3 linked regions of the Drosophila melanogaster genome follow. The gene in region 3 interacts genetically with the main gene of each other region. Each region holds a gene or a part of one and is shown on either strand. Other genes may lie near its edges.

Region 1 (6,323 bases), on a different chromosome or scaffold from region 3:
ACCTTTGATATTGTAAGACTATAGATTTCAATCTGATTTCCAAAAAAAAAAATACATCAAATAAATATGTTTTTTTTTATAGATAAAACTTGGTTTATCCATGTAATACAGAATGAAATATAAAGAAGTGTGATTATTGCGTTTGGGATGAGTATTATAGTCTAAATGTTTAAGTCCTTTAGATTTATATTAAATACATTTTCTTAATCGGCAAATCCCTGTCTTTTAACAGAAGTTTGTCGCCGTCAGTCTCTTTGGCTAGTTGCTTCATTACTACAGTTTGCTTGGCCTGGCAAACTGGAATTTTTTGAGTTGTTTTGTTTTGCTTTGTTTGTCTAAAAGCGCAGAACTACCCCCGCACCCCTCCACCAGTTGGCCCGTTTCCCCTGCAAAAGGCTTGGCCCAGTTAGCAGTAAAAAATGCAAAGAGCAGGAGAGTGGCTTAAAACAGGACTGACTGCATATTAGGACGCCCATGCAATTCAATCGAGCTGGCTTATGCAGATGCAGTGGCTGCACTAGGAAAAAATGTGGTAAACCTTGGAAAACATTCCAATTAGAACTAGAAAACTGTGTTGAAATACTTATATTTTTGAAACGAGTGTTTTCTTGGATTTGGTTTAGTTGATTTTTAATCCCAAGTTAAGTTGCCCAACTGTGTGTACTATTTTTTCGCAGTGACCCAAACTATTTCTCTTTGTTGGCTTAATTCGTGTGGGTCGCGTGGCCAATTCGATTAGGAATGCACTCAGCTGACGTCACGAAGCCCATTTACCTACTTTTCGGGTATCAGCACATGAGCCAACTCTGATTAGAGCTGATTATTTAACTAGCGATTTCCACAGATCCACATGGAAAACAAAATGATTTCCCAACACCCCGGGGAAATTTGCTTCTATAAACACACGTTCGATTGCGAAGAGATGCCTCTTCCTGAACTTTATAAAAAGTATTTTCCCGGGGACCGGGCCCAATGTTGATTTAACCCACAAAAACTGAAACATGTGTGGATATTTCGATTTTTTCCACTCCTCAGAGCAAATTGCAGCGCAGACGGACACATGGAACAAACCGAACAAATGTGGGCGAACACGTTTTTATCGCAGCTAACGAAATGCAATAAATGTTGATTAAAATAAACACACACTGCGAAGAAAGAGATTTAAAATAATGAAGTTAAATTTAAAACGCAGTATAGTGCCACTTAAAAGAAGAAGCCCACCTCGTGAATTCTTCAGAACCAAGTTGTTGGATCAGCCCTTTGTTTATCCTAGATACTAAACATTACTGATTGAAGATCGGTTTCTTTCAGTGCACATGCGAGTGAAATACACATAAAGAAGTGGAAGCCACACCAAAATGAAGACGAACCGCGTTTGAATGCTTATCAGTGGAGAATAAAAGAAACTGCACCAAATACAAATAAATGGGGAGTCGTAAAAACCAGAAATAATTAATGAAATTTGTGCTGATGAATGCAGCTTGTGGTATCTTATCAGACACAAGGAGTGGAGGGGAGTGGAGTTCTTATCGAGTGAACAGAAACCAGAACGGAAGCCTAACAAAGCGAGCCAGTTTCGAGAGAAAGAACCTTAGCTTTAAGGACTCTGACCTTTTGTCGTTTTCTATTTCGGGACATTCCACAGCTATCGCATCTCTCTTCTCTCGGCCATTGTGTTTAATGACCTTTAAAAGCCACGCACAGACAGGTCACCGGAATATGGCAGACATGCAGGCGAGGGGCCGCCCACGTCCACGCCCACTTTAGCGCCCCTCACCGAGAGGAGAAGGCCAAACAGAAATAAAACAAAAATAAAAACAACACTTCAAACAAGACACACATCACAATTCATGATTCTCATGCCTGCTGCCATTTTTGCTGATTTTGCTTTGGGTTCGTCGCCGCTTTTCTTGGCAGCCGGTGTTGTGTGTGTGCCCCATCTTAATCATCGTTTTCATCATCATTATCATTTGAGTCCACATTATCGCCATCTTCAAGCTGTCTGCTGCAGCGCAGATACAAACACACACAGCGATTCAGATACATGCGACTCGCATAGATACAAAAGCACGCATGGTGTTGCTCTGCTCGCTTCTGCCTGCCGCCTTTTAATAAAGTAAACTAAACAATTTTCATTCTTGTCTCGTTTTTGTCTCGTCTTCGTCGCTCTGCATCGACTATGAACAATTTTTCATAAACACACACGGGTTAACAGTTGGGGCTACAATAATAGTGCCTGCGGAGCCTCGTTCTACTCAAAAGAACTGTGAATATAAGTCAATCGGCAATGAGCCTTTAATCCGAAAAATACACTTGTTTGTATATGTATATTTTCATGTATACGAACAAACAAGTAATATTATCCGTACGAAAGCCAACTAAAACTCTTCCCAAACTAATGCTGTGATCTCTTAAATTTGACTCCAGATTTTTAGTGCTAACTTAATTTATAGAACTTCACGGAACATCCCTTTTTTAAGGCCGCCTTAAAGCCTATTATTTTGGCCTCATCTGTGGGTGAAGCACACACACAACCACAGCGGCGCACATGCCGTAGCAGCGAGGCGACGACCCAAGCACCACCACCAGCCCACTCCACATTGACCCCCCCCCCACCACCCACCACATCCAGGCAGAGTCAACAAACGGACACTCACACACACACTTGTGCCAAACTGAACTTTCGGTGGGTGCGCAAAGCAAAAGAGATGGCGCCCAACGTGGGGCCGGCGGGCGTGGTGAGTTCCGTTCCGCCACCAAAAGTGCTGAGAGTGGTGAATGTTTGGTGAAAGAGAAAGGCAACAAACGCATGCGGCAGTGCGTGCGGCCACAGGGGGGTTAAAGGGGGGTGCTAAGGCGGCCGAAAGGGGGTTAAGACTCGACAAATTCATTGAGAAACGAAGCGAAACAAAAAATAGCTTGGCAAAGCGGAGAAGGTGGCACCGGCCGGTCAAAAGTTGCGCACACCACTCTCACATTCAAAACTTACAGGGTGGGTGGTGCCAAGTTGGGTGGTTTTTTGTCAGGCAATGAAATCGAAATGTCAATGTGCAGTTATCAACTCGATTATTATTGTGATTGCTTCGAGGGGGAGAACGGAAATCCAGAAAAAAAAACCTTTTTTCGTTGCCATGGCAAAGTGCAAAAAAGGAAGAACACAAAGAAAAAGAACTCGCTTTTGTTGTACTTTTAAACAATTTGCATAAATGTGCGGGGGAAACCTTCGAGGGTTTGACGACTGGAAAGGCCAATCGAGTTGGGTAAGATATTGTGGGGTATTTTTGGAACCAAGTTCTGAGTAAAGGGGCTTCTTTGCGAATTGCAGGAATATAAAATAAAAAATTCATCATAATATCAAAAAAAAAGAATTCGTATTGGTTGCATCTCGGTATATTTTACATCTTTTTGAAACTAATCGATTGTGAAACCTTTCAGATAGTGTAAATAGTTTGTGAAATCGAACTAACAAATAACGAACGGAAATTGGAGTGTAAACGACCACACCTGGGAAAATAATCACGGGGCGGTCACTTTCCCGTTAATCGGGCGAGGCTTGTTAATGAATATAGCTGATGGGGAGGGGGCAATGTGGGGGCTCTATTTTCGGGGGGCTCTGCTGCTGGTTCTATTTCTAGTCGTATTCCATTTCCATTCGAGATGGATAACCGCAGCTTATTGACTCACTTTTAGGGCCGTCAGATCGATATCGTCCAGTGAACAGTTGACCGATGGAGCCAGTTGTTGTTGCTGCTGGTGCGCCATTTTGATTTGCTATTTTATTTTGTTCTTCTGGATCTGGAGAATTGCTGCTGCTGATTCTTCGCACGCAGAAAGAGGTGGAGAGAGGAGAAATGCAAATAAGACGGTGAACGGGGGGAGGGGACAAAACAACGGGGAGAGAAATAGAGTGGAGAAGGAGCGGCCGCAGGACTTTACTGCGATTTTAGATTTATACGCACTTTACCGCGATTTAAGATTTATACGCTCTAAATGACAAATGCCACAATAAAAAACCCGTGCAATTAACAAACTATTTGTTGCTGTCATACAACTTTTCTCTTTTCGCTTCTCCGCTCTTCTTCTCGCTCTCTGTCTCTCTCCATCTCTCTTTCTCACTGCTCTGGCTCTGCGTGCGTATGTGTGTTTTGTGACGGAGTGTTTGTGTGTGTTAGTTAACGTTTGGCAAACGGGGCGCGGCTCTTTTAATTCCCCAGCACTTTATAAAATCTTTTCTCGCCCTTAAACCATTTATTTATCACTGCCGATTCATCTGCTACTTCGCACACACTGCACAATTTCAATATTTTTTTTGCGGCGCTCCGATGGACCAGCCTCACACACACACCCACACCAGTGCAGTAGCCTGCGTATGTGTTTGTGTAGGTAGACAGAAAAAATCTGCCACTCGCTTTTTCCTCCCGATTGCGTTTTGCGTTCTCGCGCAGGACTCGCGATTTTCACTGGCGCACCGCGAATACGTACTCTTCACGCACAGCGATGGGCGCCTATCGCCTTTGCATCGCACAACCAGCTGAACAGTTCAATTTCCCAACTTCAGTGAAAATCAGAACGGTTTTCCGTTTTACGCGACGCCAAAACCCCGACGGATTCCAACAGTGTGACCAATTAGCCGATGGCAGCTTATTCCATCGCGAACTGAAAAATACCCCGCGATTACCGTTCTCATTTCTGCGCACATACCGCAAACATATCGAGCCGTAAAAGGCCAATTCGTGTGCCCGTATATTCTTCTCTTTCAGAATAGCAAATTAACAAATTTGCAACTGTAATCAATAAATTAGATTATAGACATTTACTAATTCCAATTAGAAAAAAGAGGCTGGGAAAATAAAAAATATTAACATATTTAATATTTTATTTCATAGGGTAACACAAATCGTTGAGTCATTTCCTATTAAAGTTATATAATAATCAGAATTGGAATATAAGAATAAGATATGTATGGTCGAAGATTAGATGTGTTAAATAAAGACGTCTAAAAATGTACGCCAGTGGAACGCATAGCATAGTCCAAAATATCTTTCGGCTTCGGAATATTTCCACTGGTTTCTTTTCACTCTCTATTTTATTTCTGATTGGGTCGCCTTTTTCACTTCTCATCCAATTGGCAAGTGCTCGACACAACTTTCCAGCTCAACTCGAATTATTCATACATCTAATTGAATTATTATATACATATATAAAATCGATTAACTTATATTAAAATTATCCAGTTTAGAAACGTTTCGATTAGGTAAAGCAGATTTCAGCGAAATTGACCTTGCGAAGATTGAAATCAAACCAAATTTTCTGGGCAAGTGAGCTACTGATTAGTAAAACTTCCGAAAACTGAATTTGAAGATTTAATATGATAAATTTTATTATTTTATTTATTATTATTAGCAAATTAACAATTTCGCGAATACCCAAAATAGCAGTGAGAAACAGCTCTTTCCCCAGCAGCACGTTAGTCACGACGCCAGACGCCAAACACAGCCACACTATTCCCTGCCCACCTCTAGGATGTCTTCCTCTTTTCTTTTCTTTTCGCCCCGTTTCCGGAGTGGTCGTATTGGGCAATTTTAATTTTACGGTAAGCCACGTGCTAAATTTTGTAAATTTGGTGGTGTTTTCAATTGCGGAAATTGTTTACAGTGCGCAATTTAACATTATAACCGTGTAACATGGAATATTTCAATTTTCCGTCAAAATATTCGAATAAGATCGAAATTCCGTAGCGTGTTGCATTGAAGATGGCCATCTTATTTAGTGAAACCGCCGCATTTGCAATATGGAGTTCGAGTACTAATCCCGTGAATTTGTCTTGCAGCAATGGGTCGCGTTATTCGTGCACAGCGTAAGGGAGCTGGTTCCGTGTTCAAGGCGCACGTGAAGAAGCGCAAGGGAGCCGCCAAGCTGCGTTCCCTGGACTTCGCCGAGCGTTCCGGCTACATCCGCGGAGTTGTCAAGGTGAGTAACGTGCTCCTAGGATCACCAACTACACCTATCCGTTTAATGTGGATGAGATCACTTGCATTTGGCCATGCCACATTCAAGAGACGTGCTTGAGCACCTGTGCCAGCTTACTAGAAGTTACTTAGCTCACTTGGCTTAACTGCTTTTGAAGTGTAACTAAGCGAATCGTACTTCTTCCATGTTTCAGGACATCATCCACGATCCCGGCCGTGGCGCTCCTCTGGCCGTCGTCCACTTCCGCGACCCCTACCGCTACAAGATCCGCAAGGAGCTGTTCATCGCCCCCGAGGGCATGCACACCGGCCAGTTCGTGTACTGCGGCCGCAAGGCCACCCTTCAGATCGGCA
Region 2 (6,360 bases), on a different chromosome or scaffold from region 3:
CGCCAATGGTGCAGTACGTCAACTGTCATGCGGCACTGGAGCAGTTCCGCATGGAGGCCGAGGAGAAGGATCGCTACGGACCAGTGGCCATGGTCGTCGGTCCCATGGACGTGGGCAAGAGCACTCTGTGCCGCATCCTGCTTAACTATGCTGTGCGCGTGGGTCGTCGACCGCTGTACGCCGACCTGGATGTTGGACAGGGCTCGATTGCCATTTCCGGGAGTGTGGCCACCATTCTCATCGAGCGACCGGCGAACGTTGAGGAGGGATTCGCCAAGACAGCGCCGCTGGTCTATCACTTTGGCCATAAGTCTCCCAGCGGAAACAGCGTGCTGTACAATGCCGTGGTTTCCAAAATGGCAGAGGTAACACTGCAATCTCTGAATAGCAACAAGCGAAGTAAGTTGGGAAGGTGTAACACATATCTTTGCACTTTTCAATACATTTTCCCGTTCATAAACTGCAAATTTCTGCATCTGCTTTTTGCAGCAAAAAGCTCTGGCATTATTATAAACACTTGTGGCTGGGTAAAGGGATCCGGCTACGCGCACCTGTTGCACGCGGCCAAAGCCTATGGAGCCTGTGCCATCTTTGTTCTGGACCAGGAGCGACTATACAACGAGCTGCTTCGAGATGTTCCCAAGGGAGTTCATGTGGTACTGCTGCCCAAGAGCGGCGGCGTCGTCGAGCGCAGCAAGGAACTGCGACACGAGGCGAGGGATCAGCGCATCAAGGAGTACTTCTACGGCAATACAAGGGCGCCCTTCTATCCGTTCAGCTTCGAGGTGAAGTTCCAGGACCTGCGACTCTACAAGATCGGCGCACCGCCGCTGCCCGACTCCTGCATGCCAATTGGAATGAAGGCGGAGGACAACAAGACCAAGGTGGTGGCGGTTACACCCACGCCCGCCCTAATCCATCATGTGCTGGCCCTCAGCTTTGCCGAGTCCGTGGAGGACGATGTGATTGGCACCAATGTGGCCGGCTTTTGTTGCGTGTAAGTGCTGCTGAACCTAAACTAGATATTATACTAGTTATATATGATTGTTATTTGATTATCCTCAGAACCGAAGTGGATATGGAAAGACAGGCAGTGATGTTGCTTTCGCCGCAGCCGCGACCTTTGCCCCCGAACGCCCTGCTCCTGTGGTCGGAACTGCAGTTCATGGATAATCATACCTAGCATTTGTAAATGCTCTGCTCTAGATGTAATTTAAGAAATTTTATATTAATGTTGGCGTTACAAAAAATACAGTTTAGATGTGCAAGTAGTAAACTTAAAGTTTTCCACAAGTTTAACAACTGAAATAACATTTAATAACATTTTGCAAAAATTAATTAAGTTTTGCTATAAAAGAATAGAACATATATCAAACAAATATTGTAATTTCTGAAAATTGAAAACTATTATAATTAATTATAACTATACAAGAATATAATATTCAGTATATGTATTGTATGTGTATGTATGTATTATTATGTGTTTCTTATAACCACTGAAAAAGGGTTTTGTAAAAATTGCATTTGAATATATTTGCAATGTGCATTTTTCGCCATTTGGTAAAATTATGTAATTCTATTCGAAAATAATTCAAACAAAATGGTGTTCTAAATTTTTTTAGCAAGGTGTGCAACCAAACGTCTACTCTACTTCCAGTATATTTTTGGTATATTTAGAACACTCAATTGGTAATATTTAGGCAAATTAGGTGCAGCCATACTGACGGCTGCGTACGTCGCCTCAGTGCGGTCACACTGTTCGAAAGAGCGAGACGAAAAACACGGCAACACGGCGGACGGAAAACTCAGTGAAAAGTAAATCAAATATTTACAAAACAAAGTAACCACAAAATGGCTGCGCTCGGTCGAATTGCGTTGGTTTAACAACAAATAGCGATGAAACGGCGACGATTAATACACTTTCAACGGGCATAAACCATAGATACTGTGGAATTTGTCGTGCTTTTCGTGTTTGTTGTGCAGCATGCGAGATGTTGCTGATGTTGTTGTTGGAATGTGTATCAAATGGTTCTAAAAACAAAACAAGAGATTTTCGGGCATCTAAATTTACGGCCTGCTTGAAAGACGTTCTGTTTTCCCCCAGTGTGTGTGTGCGTCTGTGCATGTGTGCGCGTGTGTTTGTGTGTTTTCTTCTCACTTGCTCTCTGTTGCTGCTGCATTTTCCAGCGGCAAACGGCGTTTGTTTTGGTTGCGTCGTGAAATTTTCCACTGGAAAGTGCAGCGCTGCGCCTTTCTGGGGGTTGCACACACACGCGCACGCACCGCAATTCGTCGATTGCCGGCTTGTTGCGCCGTAGAAGCGGCGGCAAAAGAGGTTCCCTAATTACCCAGAGTCACCTTATCACTTACAGTATTTCAATTTGGCGACCAGTTGATCGGAGGGGGTGATGGCGGTGTGGTGGCCCTCACACAGTTGCACAATTGCTTATCACTCGCTACTTAACGACAACAACAATTGGTGGCTCGCACACATGCAAACAAGACGATCACACTCGTCAACAAAGAAGCGGGAAACTCAATTGAAAGACTGAAATAACAACAACATAAGCAACAGCTAGCTTACACTACGCAACAAAAGTGCGAGCACGAGGAACTAAAAGTTATTAACTCACTAGTGATCAAAACTGAAATAAATTTGAATTGTATTGTAGTCATAACAGTTGAACCAATATTAATCTATTAAAAAAGATACGTAGAAAGTAAAACAAAAATCCTAAAACCTATTTACTAACAGGCATAACTCTGCAAATACTGTTGTAACTACAAACGAGAGTTCAAAACAAGGGTGTTATTTGATACCCTAGGGAGTGAAAGATTTTCGAGAGCGACCTGTTTTCAAACCTCCCTCTCCCTTCCACTTGCAGTTTTTCCGTGTGATTACCATGTGCGCCTAACAAAAGACAAACACGATCGGGTCGCGTCATCTGTTGTTTTTGCGCCAAATGTCTTAAAATTCCGGAGATAGTGCTTCCAAAATAAGATGGCTCTCGAGCCATACACAAAGTCTGCTGAAATCGAACCTCAATTGTGCCAAGTTATAGATAATAATGAAGATGTGACAACGAAAGCGACGAAATGCACGAAATCTAACAGCGGAGTGGGCTGGCGACAAATGCTGATCGGCTTTCTACTGATTTGCTTTGGCATCTCAAACAGTTGGCAGTACAAAAATGGTAAGTTCTGTGCTTTCATTTCGAACAAAGGGCAACGGTTTTGCCAAAGGAGCTGGGAACTGACAAGCATTTGATGGCAGTTCGATTAATTTGACGAGTGGCGAGGGCTTTGAGTTCAAAAAACCGCAGGGATAGACAGTTTGTAATGGGAATGGGGGTTCGCTGATATCGTTCCTCTACTTTCCTCAAAGGCTTTTGTACTACAGGTATCGCTCGCTAATGTGAACCAACGTAGTTGCGTGATTCCCAAGTGATTGAATTATAAATTGAGAGTGTTTAGTCTCAAATCAATATTTGATATTTATATTTATTGGTCAATATTCATTTTAAATAGTTAATTTAGCAAAATTTCAATATGTACATCAAAAATTACTATTCAGATAGAATATTTACTTAATAGTATAGTTCCTTATTTCAATGATTCACTGAATTTAAAAGCTTAAAATCCCATAGATAAAATATGAGTAACTGAACTGCATTTCAGGCATGTTGCCTGTTCGAGTGCCCACTGTATGCGTTTGTTTATGTGGTTTCAACTGCACTTTTGAGCTTCCCGCTCCCCGCCCCTCGCCCAGCCTTTTAGCCCCTTCCTTTGCCGCTTTGCGTTTTCCTTTAAGCTCTTTTTCGTGTTGTCAAAGCCCAAAGGCTGACAATTTCTCGGCGCAATGCTTTTATGAATAAACAACTACTACTTATTTAGACTGTAGTACGCACTCAACTTGATTGCACTGCGCATAATTTAGTACCCCCTTCTTCATCTACTTCTACTCCTACGACTACTACAACTCTGCGGCCCCACCAAACACTTTTCCACTAGATGCGACGCTAATGAGCTGAAAAAAGCAGCTCACTAATAATTCAGCAGTTGTAATATGGCAAAGTTGCCCGGTAATTGCCGGCATATTTCAAAATGCACAAAGCATTGACCCAGGCTCAAAAATTATACACTCAGAAAAATGTTCAGTTCTCATCAATTAAATCTTGTATAACTTGTACATTATTTAAAATCTAATGGTAAATCGATAGATCCACTCTATATGAACTGTTCTGTTGGGAATCATATGTAAAGTTAAGATATGAAGTCTGTAAGAGGAACTTACAAATTTCGTGGGCTGAAACAGTTCTTCTATAGATTAATATTGCATGACTCCTTGAAAGTTTTTCTCAGTGCAGCTTCAAAAAAGGGGCTCAAAGGACTGAAGTAGAAGGGACCTGCACGGGACAAGTCAATATGGAAATAGCAAATGGACAAAGGCCGTCCAAACATCGTTAAGCCCCAAAAACGCTCGAGTGTTTGGCTGAAAGATAAGCCTTCGGATTCTTCGTTTTTTTATTTTTTTTTTCCGGCTCTCTCCTTCAGTTGCAATCCGAAGTTTTTTCGGAGTCCGGAATTGCGAGTACTCCAGCATGCATGGGGGCATCCACAAAGCAAGTGCCGCCGCACCGAAAAGGAAGCCCGAAAACTTAAATTTGTCGAGCCGGGTGGGAGGAAAAAAAGCGCATCAAATATGTACACAAAGCTCCGGAAAAAAAACCCCATCTTCCATCATTCCCGGCCAGCTCTCTGTCGTGTGTGGGTGGTGTGTGGGCGGCTGGTTGGATGCTTACTTTCTTTAACACTTTGACGCGCGCACAAAGTGTTTTTTGCCAGCGTTGATTTGCCGCCCATGCCACCCATGCCATCCATGCCACCCATGCCACCACTTCCACACTACCCACCGGCCACCCAGTTCTTCTTTAAACCTTGTTCTTTTTTGCAGCTAACTGACGTTTTTGCGCGCTGCTGTCATGCCGTGTGGGGGATTCCCCCTTTTTTTTGGTCCCTTTACGTAAGCGCTATTTGCTTTAGCTTCTATTTACTACGCCGTAGTAACGCCAGTTTAGTAGTAATGGGAGCACTTCAAAGGCGACGGCGCCTTTGACGCCACATCCACCGCCCACTGACGGCATCCTGCCAGCCAGTCATCCTGCCATCCTGGCTGACATCCTTTGCGTCCCCGCGGGACACTCGACATTTCACTGTTGTTGACATTGATTTTGATTTCATTTATGTGTGCACCATTTCCACTTTCAACTTTCCAACAGCCAGCTTGACATTGGCTTAGGAATGTCAGTCAACACTTGATACACTTTGTCTTTCCTCGCGGGATTTGCCTAGGAAGCATTAGTCGCTAGTATTTCCCAATTATCCAATTAAAAATGCCCAACTCAATTAGTCATGCGTGAATTTCAGTTTATTCGTTGCAATTAAAATCTTAATTTGATGTTTAGCATACTATCAGAATGTTAACTATTGCATGAACTAGTTTAATTATATAAATGAAAGTGATTTTCATAAGTAAGCTGCCAAAAGAAAACAGTCTAAATAGCCTTTAGCAAAGAATCATTTCAAATTTACTGTCTGTAGAAAATAAGATTTTGGACAAAGATTAATGCAATTATTTTAATTGGGTTTCTATAATCTGTTTAAAGCTTTTCACAATCCGTACAATGGCAATTATGCCAATGTAATATGGTTATAATTCCCTGAGCTGTTTTACAGTTTAAAATCGTACCTAATTTTGCATAATTATAAACATACTAACACCAAATGAGCTCATGAATTGCAATTAATCAACTAAACCTTTAATCATACTATTCAAAGCTCGGTTAAACTTTCCACAACTGGCAGCTTGTTGATTTAGTTTGCTATGGAAATGCATAGCTGTTAAACAGCTTCCTCTCAGTTATTGCATCCGAATATCTGCTTAAACTTAAGCCCAATGAAACGCTTCAAACGAACAGCAAACACAATTGGGCTTTAACTAACCCAATCATCCTGGGAGCCATCTGCATTCCGTATGCAAACTGCTAAAACCAATGGCAAACTCTCGGTCCGCCGGCACAAATGTATCACTTTGCAATTTAAACAATAATGTTGTGGTGTGGTCAGTCTGGCGTTTGTGTAATGCATCTGTGTTGCATGCCCGGCAGTTCGGTTGCATCCACATCATCATCGCATCATGGCATCATCCTGCTCATCAACGCGACGAACGCCCTACTCCGACCACAGATTTGTGTGTGTGGGCGGGTTGGTCTGGCACTGACCTCTGTGTGTTGGCTGATACGGCTGTGCGTATTGCGTATATATTACACAGAGAAAAATAATCTAATTTATTAGTTTTAT
Region 3 (8,214 bases):
CGCCGCCTTCAATCCGCAACTGCACAAGTCCGACGATGACGACGACGACGATATAAGCGAGGCCGAGTACGAGCAGGAGCTGCGACGCAAACAGCCGCCCGTCAAGCGTGGACGTGGACGTCCACCGAAGGCGAAAAATGTCAATGCCAATGCCAGCGCGACCAGCGCTGGCAATCTGACTTCCAGCAGCGGCGCCACATCCAAGATATCCATAAATTCGAGCAGCGGCCGCACGGCGTCCACTAGCCTGCAGCAGATGCGTCGCACAATGGCCACGAATATGGCCAAAAGCAATGCCAGCATGACAGACGGATCGAGCACGGGCAAGGGCACTGCGTCCGCCGCGGCCAAACGCAAAATGGACACTAGCGAAAGCGAGAGTCCTGTGCCACGCAAGCGCATAATCATTTCGGGCGGCTCCCAGCAGCGCAGCGGACCGCCTGTGGTGAATGGTGCCAACAGCAAGATGAGCGCGCAGAGAGCGATCACGGCGCGACCGAAGGTGGGCCAGGCGGGCAGTGCGTCAGCCAGGATGCTGCCACAGCGACGCGGCAGCAGTAACAAGATAAACTCATTGTCGAACTCCAATTCGAATTCGATTAGATCCACGCCCGCAACGCGCTCAACTGGCGGTGGTGGTGGCGGCGGCAAGGGTGACGCTAGCAATGATGGGAAAAACGATTCCGAATCGGAGGATATGCCCACATTCACCATTGTAAACATCGATGACATTATCAATCAGGACGATGTGCTCATTTCCAGATCACACACTGCTATGGCCGCTTCCGCAGCTGGCGGTAATTCAATCAAAAAGGTCGCTTTGGGCAGGCCCCGTACCAAGAATATCGGAACCGGCAATTCGGTTGCCGGCGATAAGAAATCCATCACTGTTAACAGCACGCAGAAATCCCTGTCCGCTGCTGTTAACCACAACAATACGACGGCGGGGAATCCAGCCAAGCGCATCAAGATCTTGGCCAGCAACAGTAGTGTCAATACCAAAATGGGACCAGTGCATATCCAGAGTCAACTGCCGAAGCCCCGGCCCAGGATACTCAACGCGGAAATGGGCAAGAAGACGCAGTCGATGAAACCGCTGATGAGCATGGGCAAGGAGCTCTGTCCCACGGACGTCGACACCGAAGAGGACGATCCGGATCCAGATCTCGATTTTGATATCGATAATATACCGGTATCTATTGTTACCCGTAAGAATGCCAATGTCAATGCCAATGCCAAGTCCAAGCAGGTGACGACAACGACGTCGGTGGCGGCGTCGGCGGCGATGACGTCCGCTCCAGCAGCGGTAGCGGTTAACAAGTTGAACAACAATCGGCGCAATGTGCTGTCCACGACAGCGTCGTCGGTGAATGCGCTGATTGCGGACCGGAGGCTGAGCAATCTGCTGGCCGATAACGATGTCCAGCCGGTGTTCAAGAAGCCGAGCCTGGTTCCGCAGCGTCGCAGCAAGGAGAACCAGCAGGAGCAGCAGCGCGACAAGGAGCTGACAACGCTGCGCGAAATATTGCCCACCGGCGGTGGCATCGACGATGCCAACAGTCCCAAATATTTTCCGCCCGAGACCACAACGTTTCACGAGGAGGATGGTCGTGTGGTAAAGAAGATCACCTGCTATGAGACGTGGCATGTGGTTAGCACGGCCAAGGATATGTTGTCGAAGATGGCGCGCCAGCAGCGCACCTGCCTGGAGCTGGCGCTGGTCAAGCTGGCCAATGTGGCGTCACGGATAAAGGTGCCATCGGGCAAATGGACCAGCAAGGTGACGCTGTACAAGGTCTCGCCGTCGATGATGCCCCGCCAGACAATGACCATCTTTACGGGCGATCTCAAGGCGTACAACATACCCGAGGAGGACCGTCACAAGTATCAGCCGTCGTGCGTGCTCTTCCGGCGCGTTGTCGTTGACAAGAACACGTGCCGCGTGCCCTACGATCGGGCCGTCATCTTCAAGAACAAATGCTTCTATGCGAACATCGATGGCAAGCATGTGAATCTGTTGGGTGCCCCCGAGACGGTTGCCACCATCAAGGATGTGGAGATCCTGCTGGATATCGTCGATCGCCTCTCGATCAGCAGCAACATTGTCGAGCTGGTCAACGCTAAGTGAGCGTGGAGGCCTGGTCCATGGTGGCCACAGGAAGAGCACGTATCACATTGTAAAAAATAATTCACACACAGCACTCCCCTCCCCATCCCCATCCCCCTCCCCCATACACATACACAAACAAACAAAGCGGACACTCGATAATTCGTTTTATGCTGTAGTTGTAATAAAACAGATACAAGTTTTTTTTTGTAAAACCATTAACTTAGTTGTAATAGCTAGTGTAGCGTAAATTTATATATATTTATATGTATATATATATATGTATGTATATAAATATATATTAATATATATACACGTATATATAATTATATATTTATATATATGAATATATATATATATATATTTATATAAATTTTTATATATATATATCTCGTATATTATAAACAGCGGACGGACATACATAAATACAAACGGCAGATGTATCTATGTAATATAAACTAAACTAAAGAAAACAATTAATTGTAAAATGCTCGCCCAACTCTCGAAGGGATTGCGAAGTTCCGGGCGGTCGAGGTATATCAATAATGATTTTTATTTTAAATGCGTTGGAATACATAGCCCCCCTCCGCCTTCCCCGCGAGTCCCGCCCCCTTCGAAATCCTTTTTTTTTAAATTGCTATTATCGTAGTCGATTCAATAATATAAAACCGGGCGTACATGTGCCTACGCCCGCGTGGAGGACTAGCCAGTAAGTTAGTCGAGTGTATATCTAAGTGATCCCAATTCAAAGCATACAAATAAAAGAGAAAACTGATTTAAATAACGAGCGCCATTGCGTGATAAATGGCGGGCGGGGTTATCTGGAAATCGGGCAGCTATAAATAAACTGCGGCCAACGCTAGAGATTTTCGTGTGAAAAGCGAAAGAAGATAAGGAACGCAGGCTTCAAGTGGATGGATGGATGAGTTTCCTTGGTCAAGTTTCCATGACAAGGATAAAGACTCTACTTTTAAACAGGACACTCTTCAACTATGCTACATCATTATATGGTAAATTAATACAATTAAGAGTTCAATATAGCTGTAGTTTTAGATTCTACATGTTTTATGTAATAGAAATTGCTATTTTGTTAAATTATAATAAATTTATTGTTTTGAATAAGTATTCAAATTAAACGATATTTATCGATAACTTTGGTATTTAATTTTAAAAGTGTTTGAACTACATTCAAATTGTAAAGCAAATATCGTTAGAGAGAGCATTTCCAATAGAAACTAAATACATTGCAGTTTTTAGTAGTTTTCCATACGCTTTTTCAGAATATTCGTTTGAGAAAATGTTAAGAATGTTCGAATTCGAAAGGGTCTGGCATCGCCGGCAGTGTGACCAACTGCCCGGCGCTTTGGCATTCCGTGCGTGACGAGCGGCTAACACACTGTTTTTTTTTAGTCTCAAAATTCTAACAAATTTATTGATAAACTAGCAATATGCTCGTTTCGCCCTGCCCCCGCTGCGTGCACCGACATTAAAGCGCACCAAATCGTGCTAATGGAGCAATATCAACGCCGTGCAAATCGACGAATTAACAGCCGCCGCTTCCATTGAATCGAAATACCCAGCCCAAAAAAAAGAGAAAGAAAAAGTAAAAGAAACGCGTGCGAGAGCGAGAGGGCTAGAGCGACCAGGGGGAGAAAAGCAAAATCGAGTGAATTTTGTTTGTTGTATCGGCTTTTCCCTGGCTTAATCCCGTTTTCCCTGTGATTTTTCCCCACCAACTTCCCACGCCACCTCCCCACCGCATCCATCGCATTTCGTTTTGATCGCGTTTTATCGCGTCGAGGAGTTTTCCCGTGGATTTCCGCAGTCGGCGCAGCTAAAATGGACGCGGACAGGGGCGGCGGGCAGGAGACGAAGGTGATATACCACATCGACGATGAGACGACGCCGTATCTGGTGAAGATCCCCATTCCATCCGCCCAGGTGACGCTGCGCGATTTCAAGCTGGTGCTGAACAAGCAGAACAACAACTACAAGTACTTCTTCAAGTCAATGGACGCCGATTTCGGTGTGGTCAAAGAGGAAATAGCCGACGACTCCACCATACTGCCCTGCTTCAATGGGCGAGTGGTGTCCTGGCTGGTCTCCGCCGATGGTACCAATCAGTCAGATAACTGCTCCGAGCTGCCAACCAGTGAGTGTGAATTGGGCATGGGTCTGACCAACAGGAAGCTACAGCAGCAACAGCAGCAGCATCAGCAGCAGCAACAACAACAGCAGCAGCAGCACCAGCAACAGCAACAACAACAGCAGCAGCAGGTGCAGCCTGTCCAGCTGGCGCAGCAGCAACAGCAGCAGGTGCTCCATCACCAGAAGATGATGGGCAATCCGCTGCTGCAGCCGCCACCGCTCACATATCAATCGGCATCCGTGCTCTCCAGCGATCTGGACTCGACCAGTCTCTTTGGCACCGAATCCGAATTGACGCTGGACCGCGACATGACCGACTATAGCAGCGTTCAGCGATTGCAGGTGCGCAAGAAGCCGCAGAGGCGCAAAAAACGGGCGCCCAGCATGTCGCGCACCTCCTCGTACAGCTCCATAACCGACTCGACCATGTCCCTAAATATCATTACCGTCTCCATCAACATGGAGGCGGTCAACTTTCTGGGCATATCCATTGTCGGGCAATCGAATCGCGGCGGCGACGGCGGCATCTACGTGGGCAGCATCATGAAAGGCGGCGCAGTGGCACTCGATGGACGCATCGAACCGGGCGACATGATCCTCCAAGTGAACGATGTCAACTTCGAGAACATGACCAACGACGAGGCGGTACGTGTGCTGAGAGAAGTCGTTCAGAAGCCGGGACCCATCAAGCTGGTGGTGGCCAAGTGCTGGGACCCAAATCCCAAGGGCTACTTCACCATTCCGCGCACGGAGCCGGTGCGACCCATCGATCCCGGTGCTTGGGTGGCGCACACTCAGGCCCTCACATCGCACGACAGTATTATTGCCGACATTGCGGAGCCGATTAAGGAGCGTCTGGACCAGAATAACCTCGAGGAGATCGTTAAGGCGATGACGAAGCCGGACAGCGGCCTGGAGATCAGGGATCGCATGTGGCTAAAGATAACGATTCCCAATGCATTTATCGGCGCCGATGCGGTCAATTGGGTGCTGGAGAATGTGGAGGATGTTCAGGATAGGCGGGAGGCGCGAAGGATCGTCTCGGCGATGCTGCGCAGCAATTACATCAAGCATACGGTCAATAAGTTGACCTTCTCGGAGCAGTGCTACTACGTGGTGAACGAGGAGCGCAATCCCAATCTGTTGGGCCGAGGACATCTGCATCCGCACCAGCTGCCGCACGGGCATGGCGGCCATGCGCTTAGCCATGCGGACACCGAGAGCATCACCAGCGACATCGGGCCGCTACCGAACCCGCCCATTTATATGCCATATTCGGCCACGTACAATCCAAGTCACGGCTATCAGCCGATCCAGTACGGCATCGCCGAGCGACACATCTCGTCGGGATCGAGTAGCAGCGATGTGCTGACCAGCAAGGATATCTCGGCGTCGCAGAGCGACATCACCTCGGTGATCCATCAGGCCAACCAGCTGACCATCGCCGCTCATGGCTCTAACAAATCATCCGGCTCCTCCAATCGGGGCGGCGGCGGAGGCGGTGGCGGTGGCGGCAACAATACCAACGATCAGGACGTATCCGTATTTAATTACGTATTGTAGAAACCTTTCTTTTTGCAATCAAATTGTGTTTTTAATTAATTAAATTAAATATGTACGATTATTCTTTTTTATATACGAGTATACAAAGCAAGCAAACAGCAAACCACAATATAATAATTATAATTATAATAATAATAATAATAATAATTATAATAATAATAATAATACTTATGTATATGTATGGTATGTGTAAGTCATAGAAAAGAACGCTAAACACCCAGCCGCAACGAGTCAAGGATCAGCGAGGGCTCGTGAGGCAGCAGGAGGATCAGCACAGGGATATCCGTGTCCGGCAGCAATCGGTTGTGGACCCGATCAGATCAGATCAACTGAGATATATGATATATGATATATATATATATATATATATATATATATATATGGATGATGCGGAGCGGAGCGGAGGAGCAGGAACGGCAGCATGACGGGCGAGAATGATTTTGAATAAAGTTCTAAGAATTTAGTAATCACAAAGTAAATAAATACAAATAAAATGAATAATCGATGGCTTTTCCATATGCATGAGATTGGTTTCTTTAACGCATTTTAGCTGTTTTCAAGTGCAAATCAAATTGCCAAGAAGACTTTTAAAATATTCCTAAAACATATTAGCGTTTGTTCGTAATTTGAGGAATATACATTAAAAAGGAAGTCTAATTTTTGTTAGTTCTTATTTCTTTGTACAGATTAACAATATTTAAACACATACTTTCCATCCTAAAAAGTAAAAGTCTCAACAAGATAATATTGTTCTTCCCCCTAAACCAAACAATGCGCCATCGAGAACAATCCTCGAAGTTGTGTGCACTCGGAGCGGAAACATTCCGGGCATGGGTGTGCACTTAATAAAGAAGAGAATAATGAAACCTATAAATAGAAAATCCATTTCGAGCAGCAAATGTGTTCAAATCAACCGCCCAGCTCGGACACTTTGCAACACTAAGCCCGAAAATCGATAGCAACGAACGTTCGATAACTGTTCGATAAGCACGCCAAAGCAAACTATCGCTTTCATTCCAGAAAGGTCGCGAAACCAATAGGTTCTATTGTGGAAAGAAACGCAAATTTCCAGTTCATTTGGATTGTTTAAATCCGAGAAAACGATGGCAACGGATGTGGAGCCGGCGGCGAATACGGCGGACAAGTTCTCCGCCAACGCGGAGGAGCTAGAGGGCTACTATCTGATGCTGGAGGCGGGAAATATTCCGGAACTGCAATGGCAATTTCCGGGACGCAGGGCTCCATCGCCGGAGGCGGGATCTGGCGGCAATAGCAAGGAACTCGAACAGGCCACCGACGCCATTGAGCAGGAGTAAGAACAAGTGCAGCACCATCCGAAGGTTAACATAACTTATGATTGATTTTCGTGTCCCCGCAGACCGCAGAAGGCCAACGACTTTGATTTCAGCGACGATGTGGCCCCCACCCAGATGCGCGTCCGCAGCCAGACGTCCACGCCCAAGTCGGCCAAAAAGAAGACGGCCAACTTCGCCGGCGTCATGGAGACGCTGAAGAAGAAGAATGCCGAGAGCTCATAGCACCCGCCGAAATTCTGATGCTGATCCGGTCCAGGCAATCGGCTGCAGATCGTACTCTATCGCCATGCGGACTAGTCTATAAGCATCAGTCGTTTTACAACCATCGACAGGATGGGCTGTGGAGCTCTGCTGCAAATCGCATTAATGTAAGGATTTAGAGAGAGTTTGAACTTCAATTTACTTAAGATTTAAATTACCATACTTATAGTTAGCATTTAGAGAGTTTGAAGTTTGAACATCAAAACATAAGCTTATTATGACTTATTAGTCAGCATCTAGAGAGGAAGTTTAAACATCAAAACATAGGCATATTATGACTTAATTACCATATTCATGTGACTAGCTTGTAGCTTAAATTGCAGCAGTCTTTGGAATTCTAAAAAACTTTGTGAACCAACAAGTTGCAACTCAGAGAAGTTTGAACTTCAATTACCATATATGCATAACTAGCTGTTAAGGATGTTAACTCCCATTGCATTGGTCAGTTCTTCATTTTAGACTAAGAACTTGTAATTGAGAAGATAGCATAGAACTAATCAACTTATGTTTAAGCAGAGGGATGTGTATGTGATCCTTAATTAGCACGTGGGAAATTTACGTTCTAAATGTTAATTGTCTTTATTTGATATATTATGACAATATTCTTGATAGTATTGTCCGAAACCGACGTTTGAAGACTAGAATATAGAATATAGGATAGAACGGATGTAAATTTAAATCCAATGCGAGTAAAGCAGATAACAAGATAGGCAACTGTAGATCAGTCAACTTCTGTACATAAAAGAACTGAATTTCACTAATAGCTGTTAAAACTAGAATATAGAATGTAGGATAGAACGGATGTACATTTAAATCCAA

Evidence for each region. A genetic interaction does not mean that the proteins touch.
Region 1: of dsh (region 3) and msn, changing one suppresses a phenotype caused by changing the other (phenotypic suppression), as found in Drosophila melanogaster (one study listed by BioGRID).
Region 2: of dsh (region 3) and arr, changing one suppresses a phenotype caused by changing the other (phenotypic suppression), as found in Drosophila melanogaster (2 studies listed by BioGRID).

Annotation. Positions count from the first base shown.
Region 1 is NT_037436.4:2,581,921-2,588,243, forward strand, and holds the start of msn (misshapen), read right to left. Parts: upstream 4,621-6,323; 5' UTR 4,483-4,620; exon of another isoform or gene 4,346-4,482; intron 4,335-4,345; exon of another isoform or gene 4,117-4,334; intron 3,819-4,116; 5' UTR 3,763-3,818; coding exon 3,685-3,762; intron 1-3,684. Other genes in the region: RpL8 (ribosomal protein L8), read left to right, coding at 5,833-5,970, 6,164-6,323.
Region 2 is NT_033778.4:13,478,610-13,484,969, reverse strand, and holds the start of arr (arrow), read left to right. Parts: upstream 1-1,740; 5' UTR 1,741-1,815; intron 1,816-2,885; 5' UTR 2,886-3,001; coding exon 3,002-3,194; intron 3,195-6,360. Other genes in the region: cbc (crowded by cid), read left to right, coding at 1-399, 490-997, 1,066-1,183.
Region 3 is NC_004354.4:11,352,408-11,360,621, forward strand, and holds dsh (dishevelled), read left to right. Parts: upstream 1-3,473; 5' UTR 3,474-3,946; coding exon 3,947-5,818; 3' UTR 5,819-6,317; downstream 6,318-8,214. Other genes in the region: CG1737 (uncharacterized protein), read left to right, coding at 1-2,128; Pa1 (PTIP associated 1), read left to right, coding at 6,922-7,130, 7,197-7,356.